Diceros bicornis minor: one gene and its partner. The protein of the gene in region 2 purifies or fractionates together with the protein of the main gene of each other region. This does not show direct contact. Links are inferred from orthologs where the notes say so. Each region holds a gene or a part of one and is shown on either strand. Other genes may lie near its edges.

Region 1 (7,873 bases), on a different chromosome or scaffold from region 2:
CTAGATTCTTACAATAACCCAAGTGAGAAGTGATGAAGCCCTGAACCAGGACAATGTATACAGGGGGGATATAGGGTCAAGGAATAATTAGAACTCCATAACTAAATGCATGGGGCAGATTAGGATAGAGGCCGAGTGCCTGGCGTGGATGCTTGAGTGCATGGTGACGCCTTCAATGGGAGGAGTACGTTTGAGGGGGAACTACAAGTTCAGTTTGAGACATGATTGGTTTGTCCCCATCCAACATCCAAAGAGATGGTATTCTAGTCTGTTACTCATGGCTATGGATATGCATTTGGGTGAGTCAGAAACAACCACATAACTTGAATCTTGAGTACACAAGAGACCTTCCAGAAAGAGAAGGTAGAGAGAGAAGAGCAGTGGGTCAAGGATAGAGTTCTGAGGAGTGGCTGAGAATGAGCTCATGATGGAGACTACAAAAGGAACATTTGGACAAGCAGGAGGAAAACCAGGAGGGATGGGGTCACTCATGGAGGCCAGGGGTAGGAGGTTTAAGCATTAAGGGGTCGGTCAACAGTACCAAGTGCATCAGAGAGAGGGACTGAAGGACCAAAAACAAGGGGATGGAGAGTGAGGAAGTAAAGACAGCAACCGTAGGTACTTTTTCAAGAAACTGCTCAAAAGGAAGGAGACAAATCACGTGAGAACTAGAGGTTTATGCAGGGTCAACGGAGGGGCTTTAAGAGAGAGGAGAGAGAGGGAGACTTGCACAAGACTGCAGGCTGCAGCTCAAGATCTGCTAGAGTGAGGAGATCGTTGAAGGCTCTAGGTTCCTGGAGGATGAGATTAAGAATCCAGGTGGAAAAGACTGGCCTAGAATAGAACATGGGTTTCCTTATTCTTTGATATTAACATACCAGGCACATAAGGTATCTCTTTGTCTACAGCAAAAAGGCATCTATCAATGATATAGAGAGATGTATGTGGACAAAATGCCATACAATCTTTTTTTAAAAATTCCTAAAGTTACTATGGATTCAGAGATGTCAAATGAATGGTCATCCCAGGCAAAACAAGCCAAGCCACACCTCTAACCACCAGGCCTCTCAGCGCAGTTTCCCAGGGTAGCAGGCTGCTTTCCCATTACTCCCCAAAGGCGCTGTGGACCTTAACCAAGTCCCCTTTCTGGAGACTTCCTCCCCTGTGCCCTCTGTTTCTCCATGAGTGAAATAAATGGGTTAGATTAAAATCACAGGCAACAATGTATATGTCCATCAACAGATGAATGGGTAAACAAATTGTTTAAATAATTCTACAATAGAATATTACACAGCAAGAAAAAGGAATGAACTATTGACATACTCAACAACATGGATGAATCTCCAAATCATTATTCTGGGTAAAAAAAATCCAGACAACCCCCCCCAAAAGAGTATATACTGTGTGATTTAATTTATATGAAATTCTACAAAATGCAAACTAATCTACAATGACAAGCAGATCAGTTTCAGCTTGGGAATTAAGGAGTCATAGAGAGGGGTGGGAGGGAGAGATTACAAAGGAGCTTGAGGAAATTTGGGGGCATGAGTCATGTGTTCATTATCTTGATTGTGGTCATATACATATGTCAAAACTTATCAAACTGTACACTTTATAGGTACTTTATTGTATGTCAATTATACCTCAATAAAGCTATAAAAACATATAATCACAAAATGATCTTTTAGGTGACTACCAACTGACTTCCAACTCAATTTTTTTTTTCAAGACTTCTCTTTGATCCCTTTACCGAACTCCCTTGAAGAACCCCAAGCAAATATCCTTTTGTTGTTAGAAGGCACCAATCCTGGTTTTTCCAACTGAAAATAAGAGGGGAAAGTTCTAAGTATCCTTCTTAAGAATTAAGGACATAATTCTTCACTCCTCTTCCCCCAAGCTCACCAAAATCGTACTGGGATCAAATGTCCTGAAAGATGACTTCTAGTCTCTGTTTAGAGCATAAAATAAGAAGAAAAATCAAAATCAAACAAAAACGTTTTCCAGCAACTTCCACTCTTGTGATATAAATGAACTGAAGCCAAAGATGTTAAGAGTTGCCTGGTTCCTTTGGAGTTAACCACCTGGTCATTAATAAAAAGGGCTCTAATTGTGAAAGAAGGGGTCTCTTCTATCTTTGAAGTGGCACTCTCACCAACAATTAGCTTGTTAGAGGACTAAACAAACAGCAATCCAGACATAGGGAGATGTGGATAGCTGTCATGGGAGTATTTTTTTTTTTTTTATCATGCTTCAACTTACAACTGCACAAAAAGAACTGGCCCAATTTAAAGTTTCGCAACTTCTGACCATCGGTCTACATTCCTGAAAGGTTACACGTGAAATAAATGTGGTGTGTGTGTGTTCAGTTGAATCATTAGTTCCTAATTCATTTACTATAATGAAGAAATAGACTTGGGATTATTTGAATTCTGTCTTTGCAATTCACAAGCTTTGTGATCTTGGGCAATCCCTCAACTTCTCTAGGCTTCAAGTTCCTCCTCTAAAATGGAGTTGACCTCAAAGGGCTGACCTGAAGATTGTATAAAATGAGAAAGGCATAGGCCCTGGGACATGGAAAGCACTCACTAATGGTTTATGAAATCTGCATTGTAAATATCCATTGAGGTATCATTTCAGAGACCCTTATCTCTTCTGATAAGCCTTCATTGGGTTATTACTCAATACCACATAACTTTAATTTTATCCTTCCCTCACCTTTTGTCATATTGATAATCCAAATCCACAAACAGGCAAGAACACATTAATGGAATCTGCTATTTAAAACGGCAATAGCTAACACTTAAAATGTGCCAAACGTTTTCCTGATTTGACATTTAATCCTCACAACAGTCCTATAAGGTTCAGACTATTATGACCCCCATTTTACAGATGAAGAAACTGAAGCACAGATAGATTAAGTCATTTTCCCAAGGTCACACAGCTAATAAGAGGCAGGGGGAGGGGAGGCAGCCCCAGATGTAAACCCAGGCAGTCAGCCTGGAGTATCTATGCTTGGCCACCATACCTCGATTTTTTAAAAATGGATTTTTAAACACTTTTGTTAAACAAATCCCCGCAGACTTACCTCCATGATAACTTTGGATATTGAGTCATAAAAATCACAGGTCTCTTAAGAAAGGGATTTTCAGAAATGTTAGATCATCATCTACTGAAGTCCACCCCCTGCCTCTCGATGGGGCCACAATGGGACAACTCAGGCCTGGTGAGAAGGATCCCAAGAACAAAATCCCACAACTTCCGCTCATAGTTCATTCCCAAGTTTCACAGTCAGGAAATTCTTAAATTACAACTAATTTAAATCCTTTATGCAGGCTAAGCCCCATTCCTTGGGCTGAAACCTCAACATTTCCATTTCTCTTACTCATTCACCCAACTATTAAATAAACCTTGATTAAGCATGCCCAGCTGAGTTATATCACCGCACGGGGAGAGAAAAAAGCTCTCAAGTTCTGACAGGATCAATCAGGAGATTGACCAAGAGTGCGGGCATGCGCGCGTGCTGGGGGTGGGATTTCCAGTGGGGGGCGGTGGGGAGAGGTCCTCATGTATGGAGGTGAACACAGAGCTCCCAGGCAGTGCCATGCAGCCCACTTGTGGCCTTAACCATATAATGCTGAGCCATCCCCACACAAAGTCCCAGAGCAAACCCGCAGAGGGAGAATGAGCCAGCCCCAAGCAGCCATGCCTGGAAAACCTACAGTTTCCTATTCCTGTGTCCTAAATCTACCACCACTAGCTTGCCATCTTCCCCGTGTAAAAGCTTTTCATTTACTGAAGGTTGTAATGAAGTGGACTCCAACTTTCTCTTCTGCAAATAAAATAACTTCAGTGGCTGAATTAGAAATGCCCCAATGTGATGGTGCTGAACAGCGAAGGCTGCGGACAACGGGAGGCCCTTAGACTAGGAGAGGCAAAGTCTGGATCCTGGTCCCGGTCCCGCCACGCCTTCAGTCTGTTTTGACTGAGCACCTGAGCACCCGAGCACCCGGGATGCTGAAGGGAAGAGGCAATCCCTGCCCTCAAGGAACTTACAGTCTAGCCAGGGAGACAACGAAGCGCACAAGCCCCTGTGTCCTGCGGCAGGAGTTAACTTACAAAGGCAGTTAAGGTCCTGATGTTAAGGAAGCGCAAAGGAGGCTTTCATCCACTGTTACCCTCGCACCTCACTGATCTTAGATTTCGTTCACTCAAGTTGGGATGATTCCTTCTTAATCGACTTTATGGTGCGGGGACCTCAGAGGCCAAAGCTCCTAGAAAAGCAAAAAGGCAATTCAAAGCAGCGACTGTTGATTAGCGACGTAAGGGTGCTAATCTGCACATTTAAAAGACCCTGCGAGCACAGGGCTAGAATGGTTGCAACTCGCTGGGACCTGCTCCGGGAAAAAAAAAAAAAACAGGCTTGGCCTAATGCGGAGGGGCCTCCTCAGCAAACTCCAAAGTCAAAATCTCGGAAAGTGACACCCTCGGTCTCAGCAGCCGCGGTCACCCTCCACGCGCTCCGCGCACCCCAGCCCTGAAATCCCAGAGCGCAGTGTTGACCGCCCAGACCGAGCCGCGGGCACCCCCTGGCGGCCACCCGCGGACACTGACCGCTCGGAGCGCGAGGGCGGGGCGAAGAACTCGGCAGGGAGGGAGTGTGATCCTCTCGCGTGGACTAATGGCGTCATCAGAGCGACGGGTCCGGAAGGAAGTAGCGTGTCGAGGGGTGTGGCGGTTTCTGCGGTTGCACAGGAGGTCGGACGAGTACGGAGCGCCTGGAGGGACAGCCTGGTACGCGGCCCCCGCCCCTTAGTGGGCGCGCTGGGCCTAGTTGCGGCTGTCGGCCGGAGCCGATGAGCGGTTCTCCCGGGCCCCCGCCCCAGCAGCCTCGCTCCCTCAGCCGGCCCACTCCGGGAGCGAGAACGCGACGCTCCTCTGTCCCTTCCCTTCCCGCGATCCCGCAGGCGGGACCGAGCGGAGGCTCTCGGAGCCCAGCCCCTCCCCAGGGCGTGTGGGACGCGCGACCCTCTCTCGGAAGAGGACAGGGAAGGGGCGCGAGGTGGGGCGGGGTGACCTCGGGGAGGGAAGAGCTGTTGCGGAAAGGATGCGGCTGCAGATCGGTAGCAGGAGGCCGCCACCGTAAAATAAGCGCCTCGCGGGTGTCCGCGCCCGAGCTATGTTGGACCCGGGCGGCAGAACCCACGCTCTGCGCGGGTGGGCCGCGCACGCCTGCCTGCCTTCTGCTGCCCGTTACCATAGGGTTTCCAGATCATTCAGTGTTCGGAAAATGAGTCTAGATGCCAACTCTTTCGCATCCTGGTGCCTGAACGCAGTTGTCCCAGGAGCCCAGAGTCCTCCCAGCTTGGGGAACCCCCTTTCTCTAACCATGGAGTTGGGACCTGTCAGGGGCAAAGTGTCAGGTATATGGGAGGGAGTGTGTCTTCAGTCTTGTTCAGAACCCTGTCCCGTGAAGGGCCAAAGGAATAACTGGGAAGGTGCATGACAGGCCAAAGAATCCCACCTTGGACCCCTGCTCGCATGCTGTCTCTGTCGCTCCAGCATCTGAAAGGAGTAAATAATGGTTTCCTGTGAAATGACGGGCAATTAGGACTGGGAGGCTCTGACCAGAATTACATAGCCACAACTGCCGGTCATCTGACATCCTCTGTAATTTGGGCCAACATACTGCAGCTGCCTCTCTTCCCTTTTACTAGTATGAGTGGCTCCAGTGACAGCACGTGCGTGTTCACAGGAAGGGAAGGCTGTGTTCTGAACGCTGCCCAATTAGCACGGGTTCCTCGGGCCACGGCTGGAGCCACTGCCTTTTCAAGAGGTGGGAATATAGTTCTACAGTTAAGGAATGGGAATGTTGACTGAGAACAAGGTTTGAAGAGAGTTGTAGACCTAGCCATGTGTTGATACTATAGCAGGCTGGATAAGAGCCGCTTTGAGGGAGCTCAGCTTGGTGAGGTGCTCTTGCTGTCATAGCTTGTCTCCTGCATCAGACCACACACATTTTCCCGTATTTTTTTCCTAGGATAAAGGTTCACTGATGGCTCAGTTGGGAGCAATTGTGGCTGTGGCTGCCAGCTTCTTTTGTGCATCTCTCTTCTCAGCTGTGCACAAGATAGAAGAGGGACATATTGGGGTGTATTACAGGTAAGGCAGAGACAGGGAGAAACTTGCAACTTCCTCTTACATGACTCTCCTTCCTAATCACTGTCTAGCAGATTCTGCTGGATATCTGTGTTTATATTTTGTTGAATAGGGGAGTCTTTTAGATTGAGCTTTTGTGTCAGTGACCATGGGGAGGGGAATACACACACATACATATATACACATATATAGTTGTAAATATACAATTTAGTAGTCTAAGTTGGTGCCATGGGTGGTGATTGATAAATGTGTATAGATATGTAGAGACAAAACCTAAAGGAAACCAGTGCTCCTTGCAGATCATCTCTGAAACATTGTTTTCTCCTACATCCCTTTGGGCATCTTGGTGCCACAAGGTTACCTCTGATGAGTACCAGTTCTTGATGGCAACTTGAGGAGCTAGCCTGCTGTGCTAATTTGAACCTACTGTTTAAAATTAACATTTCAGGAAATGTGAAAGAGCCTGCAGGTTTATTTATATTAATTAAGGCAAGCCTGAGGATAGTGGTTCTTACAATAATGGAGCCCATTATGTCACTATTTTATTGCTCTTTTTAAAAAAAAAAATGTATCTTCGACTTCATAATGTAAAGTGAAGAAGCACTTATAAATCTTGAGGTGCTTTCCTTTTAGTAACCTCCATAACCAAGTTGTTGCTTTAGCCTTTATGAACCCCTTCGTGTATGTGCCCTATGATGCTTATTTCTAGATTTCCAATAGCAAGTTCTAAATGTCTGATTGAGTTTCCCTCTCTACTTTAATTATTTCTCCCCACCACCTGCTTTTATGTCCCCAAAAGAGGCTTTTAATTTTGTTATTTACATATAACTTGATTAAAAGATAACTCGCCTGCCAAAAAGTAATATATTAAAATGATTTCTAAAGCATACTTAAAATTATTCTTTTGGTTGTTCATGTCACTGGACTCCAACATTAGTGCAGTTAATTGATGGCAGTATTACTGCATTTAACTGCCCTAATGGATTTCCACAAACTCAAGGGATATGACAAAATAAAACAGACTTCCTCTCTTATCTGAAGTACAGCCAGGGATTCTGCTGTCTTTATTCTACTTAACCTGTGTGCCTATCTTTCTCACTGCAAAAGCGTGAATAATGGTTTTATGTTTTACCATCAGGCTTCCTAGAATATTACAGTTGAGCCAAGAGGAAGAAAGGGATCAGTGGACGTGGCTCTGACACATGTCACCCTATATTAAACGTTTGTGGGGCTGAAGAGAAAGTTGGCCGAAACCATGTTGCTGTAATAGATACCTCTTGCTAAACTGAACCTGCCTCTCTCTTCCTCCTCTGCAGAGGCGGTGCCCTGCTGACTTCCACCAGCGGCCCTGGTTTCCATCTCATGCTCCCTTTCATCACATCATATAAGTCTGTGCAGGTATACTTGGCTTGTGTGGTATGGATGGACGACTGCAGATTTGGGGTGCTGACTAATGCATGATTTGGAATTTAGCTATTGGATGAGTATAATACCTTTTCAAGGAATCATTTAAGAGTCAGTTTTATTTATATATGTATATATATATAGAAAGAATGAGGCTCCACGAGCCATTTACTCTGGAGCTTGATTGTTGAACTAGCTGAATGGGGTCATTTCCTTGGCCCATCAGCCCCAGTTGGGCATTATTTCTTCACTTCAAGACAAAGCCAGGGAGGAATCTGTTCTGAATATATAGGAGATGGGCTGGCCCCGTGGC
Region 2 (7,529 bases):
GTATGTCGCATTGCCGGAGATGGGTTAGTGGTTTTTGACTGTAATACAAGTCAGCTTCCGTAGCATGAAGTTTGATTTCCCATAATTCTTCCACTTGTTTTACATCACTTATTTGGGTTAAACTGGACTCACTTCAGGCAGTTTGCCTTTGTTATTTAAATATGTGATGAGAAACATAATGCTGTTAATTTGACTTGAGCCATAAAACACATTTTAATATTAGCTTGTATTATATGTATCAAGGTTGTTTTTGTGGAAAAAACAGGCTAAAACCTAAGTAAGTCTAGATTAAGCCAGTTTAGGTGTAATTTGTATTTTAGTGATGGATTGTATTGTAAGAGTAGAGGTAAATTAGGAAAATGTGTTTTGCTGTTCTGTTGAGGGGAAGATCAGTGCATTTAAAAACTTCAACTTTTGGTTACTGTGCTTACATCATAGTGTACAAGCATCATTTATAGTTTGGCTTTGAGGATTTTTCTGGCATTAAGTTTATAGAAATGTATAAAAGAAACTGTTTAAGTTTTGGTTATATTTTTATATTTGTAAAGTAAAAGTTTGATTAAAATGGTCACTGTTTTTTTATTTTATTGTCATTTCAATAAAAAAAAATTTAAAATAGAATGACTGATTGTTTGTGTGGCTCCAACCTTAGTGTGCCATTAGAAATCCTGCAGGGTTCTTTTTCACTGTTAGTGGCTAGGGGCCATTAGGTGAGAGACAGCTTGACGTAATAGCAAGGGCCTGAAGACCTGGGACATCGATGTTGCCCTCCCCTCACACTCCTCCATTGTGTGTTAGCAGTGTTCATAGGCAGATTCAGTTTCCTCCAGTGTGAAGCGGTCACTGGATTTGGTACCTGGTGCAAATAAATGCAAATAAAAAATAACCTTATATTATTGGGTTAGTTTCACCTATTCTCATAGCTGGGAAGATTGGGATTTAGAAATTGCCTCACAATTGTGTTAAGTCTGTGTTGTTATATCATTGAGGACTCCATTTCCTCATCTATAAAGAGTGTTCACTCCTACAGTTTTTTTTCCTCAAACTTGCCAGACAGTCGTGATGTTCTGTGACACCATGCTTGCTGCTTATGTAATGCTGTGTAATTTAATTTCAGCATCTTAAATAGAAACAATTTATACCCAAAATATGAGAATGTATGTGTAATAAAACCATAGCCTTGAGGCTTTATAGCTGAACAAATATTGAACAAAACCTGATAAAGTTATTGCAAAGTTCTGAAAATTTTACTACTTGTGTATTTTATAGCAGGCACCAAAGAGCTATGAAAAATTATGAAAGAAAAGGTAAAGATTGAAATATACCCATTAACTTAGTTTTTTCCGCACAAACTTGAGGAGTTGGTTAGTTTTCCTCTTCTGCTAGATTTAGTAGTGGAATACATTGGTCCAGCTAAGGAAACACCGGAATTCCATGGGAGTCCATTTAAGGCTACTGGATTAGATAATGATGTTCAGTTCCTAGGACGTTGAGAATCTTAACAAAAAGCTACTCAGCCCTTCTCACAGGATGGTGAAAATCACATGAGGTCACGCATATGAAAGGATTTCAAATATTTTAAAAAATGAAAATAGCAATACTGTATCTAGGTGTGAATCTTACTCCATACAAACTCTGGTCTGTTTGAAATGACACATTTCCTTTAAATCAAACTAAATCAGAGCCATCATCCCACAAAGATGGAAGGAAATTCAGTCTCTCAGTCACTATTGGGAGTGAGGACCCACCCAAAGTCTCACAAGAATCCAGAAGGCATAAATGGTACTCTGAAATGAAAGTGGGGGTGCGGAGAGCTCTGGCTTCCGTCACGGACTCCACAGACCCTTTCTTGTCCAAGCTGGACCAGGCCCTTAAAGTCTGGTGCTGTTGCCTCCATGTCACACTTGGGCCTTGGAACTTGACTGATACAGGTAGTCCCTGTGCCTATGGTCCAGCCTTCCTGGGTACACTAAATATTCATCCCTTCTGTCTCTTGCCTCCTCCCCTGGTCCTCTCATGGAGCAGGATGCAGCACAAAGAACCAGAAGCATTAGCTGACTTTAGAAGGTGGGTTCCGTCCTTGCCAAAAAGAAGCCATGAGAGATGGATGTGCAAAAGCCTGGTTACCTTCTTGGAAAGGGAAAGGAAAAAATGTTGGTAGAACAAATACTAATTATCCTAGTAAAATATCCAGACACAAACATCTAAAATCTTTTAAAATGTGAATTAAAAATTATATAGTTAGGTTAATTTCACCTATTCTTATATTGAATATTGAGAAAGTTCAAGCTTCTAAGTTTAATTTAGTTAGACTAGTTTTAATATAGTCAGAGCCAAAAGTAAAAAGTTGCTATTAGACACTTCACAAAGTCATTCCAGAAAACAGGTTGTCTAAAGTTTTTTTTTAACACTTAGAAAGTAGTGGTTATCTCAAAATATAATTTAATAAAGAGTATAGCACTTTGAAATTCAAGATGGTGGAATATTGTACCTTAATAAGGGCAGATCTATTAACAGCAGCCTCTTATGGTGATGGGACACAGTTGGTGTGGTATTATGTAACTGTAATGTGACTTAGACTGAATATGGATCACCTGATAGTGTGGTTTAAAAATTATGGGAGCTCAGATAAAGTAGAACAGTAACTTCCCTGGAAAATCGCTATCTTCATTTTTTCAAAATAAAGCTTTCCTTTATTTTACCAATAAAGTTGAAAGTAGCGTTTTAATCAAATGGCTGCAGGGTGGAGAACCAAAGGGAACTGAAGTCTAATATTCATATAGACTTCATAAACAAGTATGTGTAAATTCACATGGACATTGAGCTCTATATGAGGTCTATATAGACCTCATATAAAAAAGTTGGTGTGTGGCCCCCACAAAAGCCAAACTGTTCTGTTCCATCACAGGCCCTTTAATAGGATGATCCTAAAACTTCCAAAGTAGATGGTAATAACCTTGAGAGATCTTTTTTAGTTTCCAATTAGTAGGCTTTTCGAATTAGAGTATTAGGTATAAAAGAGATTTTGAAGACAATTTCTTTTCTTTTGAAAGTTTGTAAGATGCATCAAAAATTGACTGAGCACCTGCTGTGGGCCAGGCACTATTACAGGCCTTGGAGATACAATGAAGAATAAGACCCCCAAGCTAACATTTTTTTTTTGGTAGCACTTTTTCTTTGTAACAGCTTTACTGAACTATAATACACATTGAGATATATCTCACCATTTAAAGCGTACACTTAAATGATTTTTAGTGTATTCAGAGTTGTGCAACCATCACCACAATTTTAGAACATTTTCATCACTTCAGAAAACCATATTTAGTTTTTACCCTCCAGTTCCCTCATTTCCCCATCCCTAAGCAACCATTAATCTACTTTCTGTATCTGTAAATGTATTTGCCTGTTCTGGACATTTCCTACAAAGAGTCACAATATGTGGTGTTTTTTGTCTGGCTGCTTGCAGTTACCATGTTTTCAAGGTCCGTTCACGTTGCATCAGTACTTCACTCATTTTTATGGCTGAATAATATCCCATCATATGGATATCCCTTATTTATGGATTCATCACTTGGTGGACATGAGGGTTGTTTCCACCCTCGGGCTATTATAAGTAATGCTGCTACCAACATTTGTGCACAAGTTTTGTGTGGAGGTATGTTTTCACTTCTCTTGGGTGTATACCTAGGACTGGAATTGCTAGGTCAAATGGTTACTCTTAGGTTTAACTTTTTGAGGAACTGAGAGACCGTTTTCTGCAGTAGCTGCACTATTTTACATTCCTACCTAGTGTACGAGGGAACACTTTTATTTCCCGCTAAATGCGGTTCGTTTTAGACTGTGCGAGGCTACTAGCAAACAGCAGAAACTGAAGACAGCTTTGTTGGGGAGAAATTTCAGACTGTTAATAGTCTTTCTTTGAGGTCAAGGCCTCTATTATTCCCTAAGCACCATCTCCTCTTTCGGCCACCGGGGAAGCTGCTAGGCCCACAGGGGTGCTCAGGGGCAACCTGCTTAGGAGGGGTTAAAGGGAACGAAGGGCCAGGCGGCCGGACGCCCGGTGGCCCGGGTGCCCGCGTCCTGCGCGCCGCCACGCGGCCTGGGCCCCACCGCCCGTCAGCGCCGCCGGGCCTGAGTGCGCTTCGGCTCGGCCGGGCGGGTGCCCCGCGCGTCCGCGGGCGGCGGAGCTGGGCCGGCGGGGCAGCACGCTGGGCGCTGGGCCTTGGCCGGCCCGGCGGCGGCGCGAGCGCTGGGGGCGGGGGACGGAGGCCGCGCCCCCGCGCCCGTCCCGCCCGCACCCTGCGGGGGGCGGCGGCCCGCCCCGCGCCCGCCGAGGCTCTTCCGCGCCGGCAGGGGCAGCAGCGGCAGCGGCGCGGGGCGGAGCGGCGCGAGCAGCCAGGAGCGGCCCGGCCTGGCCCGGCGCGGCGGCGGCGGCGGCGGCGGCAGCGGCGGCAGCGACGCCAGAGCCCGTGGGCGCCGTTCGCGAGGCCGCCGCGGCGGCCTGGCCGCAGCGCGGGGAGGCCTGGGGGCCGGAGGCCGCCGCTGCCGCCATGCCGTTGCTCTTCCTCGAGCGCTTCCCCTGGCCCAGCCTCCGCACCTACACGGGCCTCAGCGGCCTGGCCCTGCTCGGCACCATCGTCAGCGCCTACCGCGCCCTCAGCCAGCCCGAGGCCGGGCCCGGGCGCGGCGAGCAGGAGTCGCCAACGGCCCCGCTGCTGCCGGAGCCGGCCGCGCTCGCCCGCCCGAGCGCCGGGGGACCCCGCGCCCGCGACGTGGCCCAGTACCTGCTCTCGGACAGCCTGTTCGTGTGGGTGAGCGAGGCCGCCGCGAGGGGCGGGGGCCGCCATGTCACCCATTATCTGTGGGGGGCGTGGCTGGGGCCCGGGTCCCCTCCCTGGGGCCCGCCGAGTGAGAAGCCTGGGGCCCCGCCCGCGAGCGCGCTGCCGGAGGAGGGGGGCTGTGGGGCTGGCCCGGGGCGGGAGGAGATGGGCGTGAGGAGGCGCGGCCGAGTTGGAGGGCCTGAGGAAGGGGTCGGGGGGGGCGCGGGGGCGCGAGGGAGGGAAGAGGTTAGGTGCTGGAGGGGCGGAGTAGAAGTCAAAGATGGGGAGCGGGGTGGGGGTTCCTGAGGGCCCCCCGGGGAGGAGACTGGAAGCCCTCAGAGAGCAGGCTCGGGGGAGGCTGGGCCCGGCGGGTCAGTGGCCCCGCTGCTGTGTTCCCTGGTGGAGGGAAGCTGACAGGCCTTTCTGACCCGGTCGTGCACGGCAGTGTTGTAGGGTTTCCCCTGGAGAGGAGAGGGCACAGCCGGAATTCGGGGTCGAGTCTGGGAGCATTTAGGCATTTGGGTGTTTGGACGTTCCTATTCGGCGAGAGGCCGTCTCCCACCACTTTTTTGCCGTTTAGCCTGCGATTGTCCTCTTTGGGTCAAACAAACCTGCAGACCGTGCTTCCTCTCCTGCCGCTCTCACCTGGTGATTCGTCACGGTTTCCTTTGATGTCTGAAGGCAGCAAAACACTCATCATTTTAACTCAGGATTTCTCCTTTTGGTGATCCATTTTAAAACAAGGTTTCCAGTTCGTCTGTCAATGCACGATAAGCAGCCTTTACAAGGCAGACATGCTGGGTTCGCTGATTAGAACAGATAATTTCAGGCGGGGCAGATCAGGAGTATTTTGGCTAAAGAACTTTGCTTCCGCCTTGGCCTAATGTAAATACTTCTTTATATAAACCCTACAGTGATCAGAAAAGTTGCTGCAAGGTTGAAGTGTGTCGCTTGGATATACTGTGGCGTCTTGAGTCTTGTCCCCTCCTGAGAGTTCCCATTTGGGATGGAGAGTAGGCTGTAAATGACTGAGATTAGTATTCCAAGTATATAGAATGATATACAACTCATTTGTAATAATTAATCCCACTGTGCTTCATCAGGAAGCAGTGGGATTTAGGAACTCCGTGGGCTGTGGATTAAGTCTCCTGGTCCTTCTCATGAAGAGATTAGTGGAAGGCAGTGGAGGGTGAGGTTCGGGTGCTCTGCTGCTGTGAAGTTGGACCTTACAGAACTGAAGACGGGAAAAGTGAAAGAACTCAACTCCCATCTCTTGTTTAATTTCAGATCTATTTTTGTGTTTGACTTAAGCAGGTAAACAAGTTAAAGTGATGTGAAGAGGGTTTTTGCCAGATGTTAACATCATCATGTAGTCTTTGACATATTTTTTTAAGTATAAGATATGAATAAGCCTTTGAGAAGGAACCACTATAGTATTTATATAACAACTACTAGTAGTGATTCGTGATTCTTTTTTCCCTCGGAGTTTCTTTTTACAAAACCCACGTTCAAGTTCCAAGGTTAACAGCTCTTCATAAAATATTACATAAAGGCCTGTTGATTTTTCTGTGAAAATTATTACTTTTAAGAAAGTTTCCTTTTCTTCCCAGCTTTTTCAGTAAAGGACTTGCCTCATGCAAGTTTGACATTTCTTCCTGTCTGTTTCCTTTCTCAATTGATCTTCTTATTGTTTTTCTTCCATCTTTGCTCCTTGGTTTTCACGCTTCCATCATGGCCTTCCTTGGTTTCTCAGACCCTCAGCACCCATTACATGGTTTCTGCTTCACTAGCTGAGTAGGAATCACAATCTCAGAGGCCTTCCTCCGTGGGCTGACTGATAGCTTTATTGAGTGAATATGTGGTGGGGCCTTTGTCAAAATGGATCTGTTTTGCTCTCTGTCCGAAGGCATTCAGATTCAATTTTTTAAAACCAAGCAAGACAAAACAAAAGCTGATCTTTTGGCCAGTTTGCAATCTGGCTGCTATTATTTGGTGTATTGGAATGTCTAAAACTTATCTTTGTAGAGCACAGTTCAGATTAGTATGGGTCTGATAGCATCTCAAGAGGTTTTTGGTTAACAAACTCATTTCAAAACCCTCAAAGGTACTATTTGGAGCACTCTGGAGGGCATGGCTGTGAACACTTTCCCCCTACTCTCAAAGCAATCCATATACAAATAAGGCAAAATTCGATAAATGATAGTAGATATATAAAGAAAATATGGTGGAGTTTGGAGGAAAGAGAAAACGATGCCCAGGGAAGGATGCATGGAAGGTGATATTTGAACCCAGCCTTGGAAGGTGGGAAGGGTCTCAGCAAGCAGCAAAGGGCATTCCAGGTAGAGAAAACAGCATGTGAAGCTCAGACTGGAGTATGGAGGACAGGGGAGAGCACGTGCAGAGCGGTTCATAAAGTCGGTTGTTAAATTGAAATTACATTGGATCCTTTCATTTAAGAGTGAGGTTGGGAAGGTGAAGGGGAGACCCAGGAGTCACAGGAGATGGGGGAAGTGACCCTGCTGTGAGAGAAAGGGAGAGGTGAGCAACCCCTCTGAAAGTGTATTTTTCAAAGTGTGGACCTCTGGCAACCTGGTTCATTGTCACCTGGGATACTTGTAAAATGTTGTTTCTCAGGCTCTACCTGGGGATCAGTTTCAGGGAGAAGGCTGGAGCCTTGGCATCTTCATTTTGATTAATGTCCTAGGTGAT

Evidence for each region.
Region 1: the proteins of AMFR (region 2) and ERLIN2 purify together in Homo sapiens (affinity purification with western blotting; 4 studies listed by BioGRID and IntAct, with this or other methods). This does not show direct contact. The link is inferred for Diceros bicornis minor from reciprocal best matches to the Homo sapiens genes AMFR and ERLIN2.

The regions. Positions count from the first base shown.
Region 1 is NC_080768.1:34,487,945-34,495,817, forward strand, and holds the start of ERLIN2 (erlin-2), read left to right. Parts: upstream 1-4,832; 5' UTR 4,833-5,499; coding exon 5,500-5,571; intron 5,572-6,037; coding exon 6,038-6,159; intron 6,160-7,472; coding exon 7,473-7,554; intron 7,555-7,873. UniProt on the Homo sapiens protein: Component of the ERLIN1/ERLIN2 complex which mediates the endoplasmic reticulum-associated degradation (ERAD) of inositol 1,4,5-trisphosphate receptors (IP3Rs) such as ITPR1.
Region 2 is NC_080771.1:9,983,543-9,991,071, reverse strand, and holds the start of AMFR (E3 ubiquitin-protein ligase AMFR), read left to right. Parts: upstream 1-4,430; 5' UTR 4,431-4,550; coding exon 4,551-4,811; intron 4,812-7,529. UniProt on the Homo sapiens protein: E3 ubiquitin-protein ligase that mediates the polyubiquitination of lysine and cysteine residues on target proteins, such as CD3D, CYP3A4, CFTR, INSIG1, SOAT2/ACAT2 and APOB for proteasomal degradation.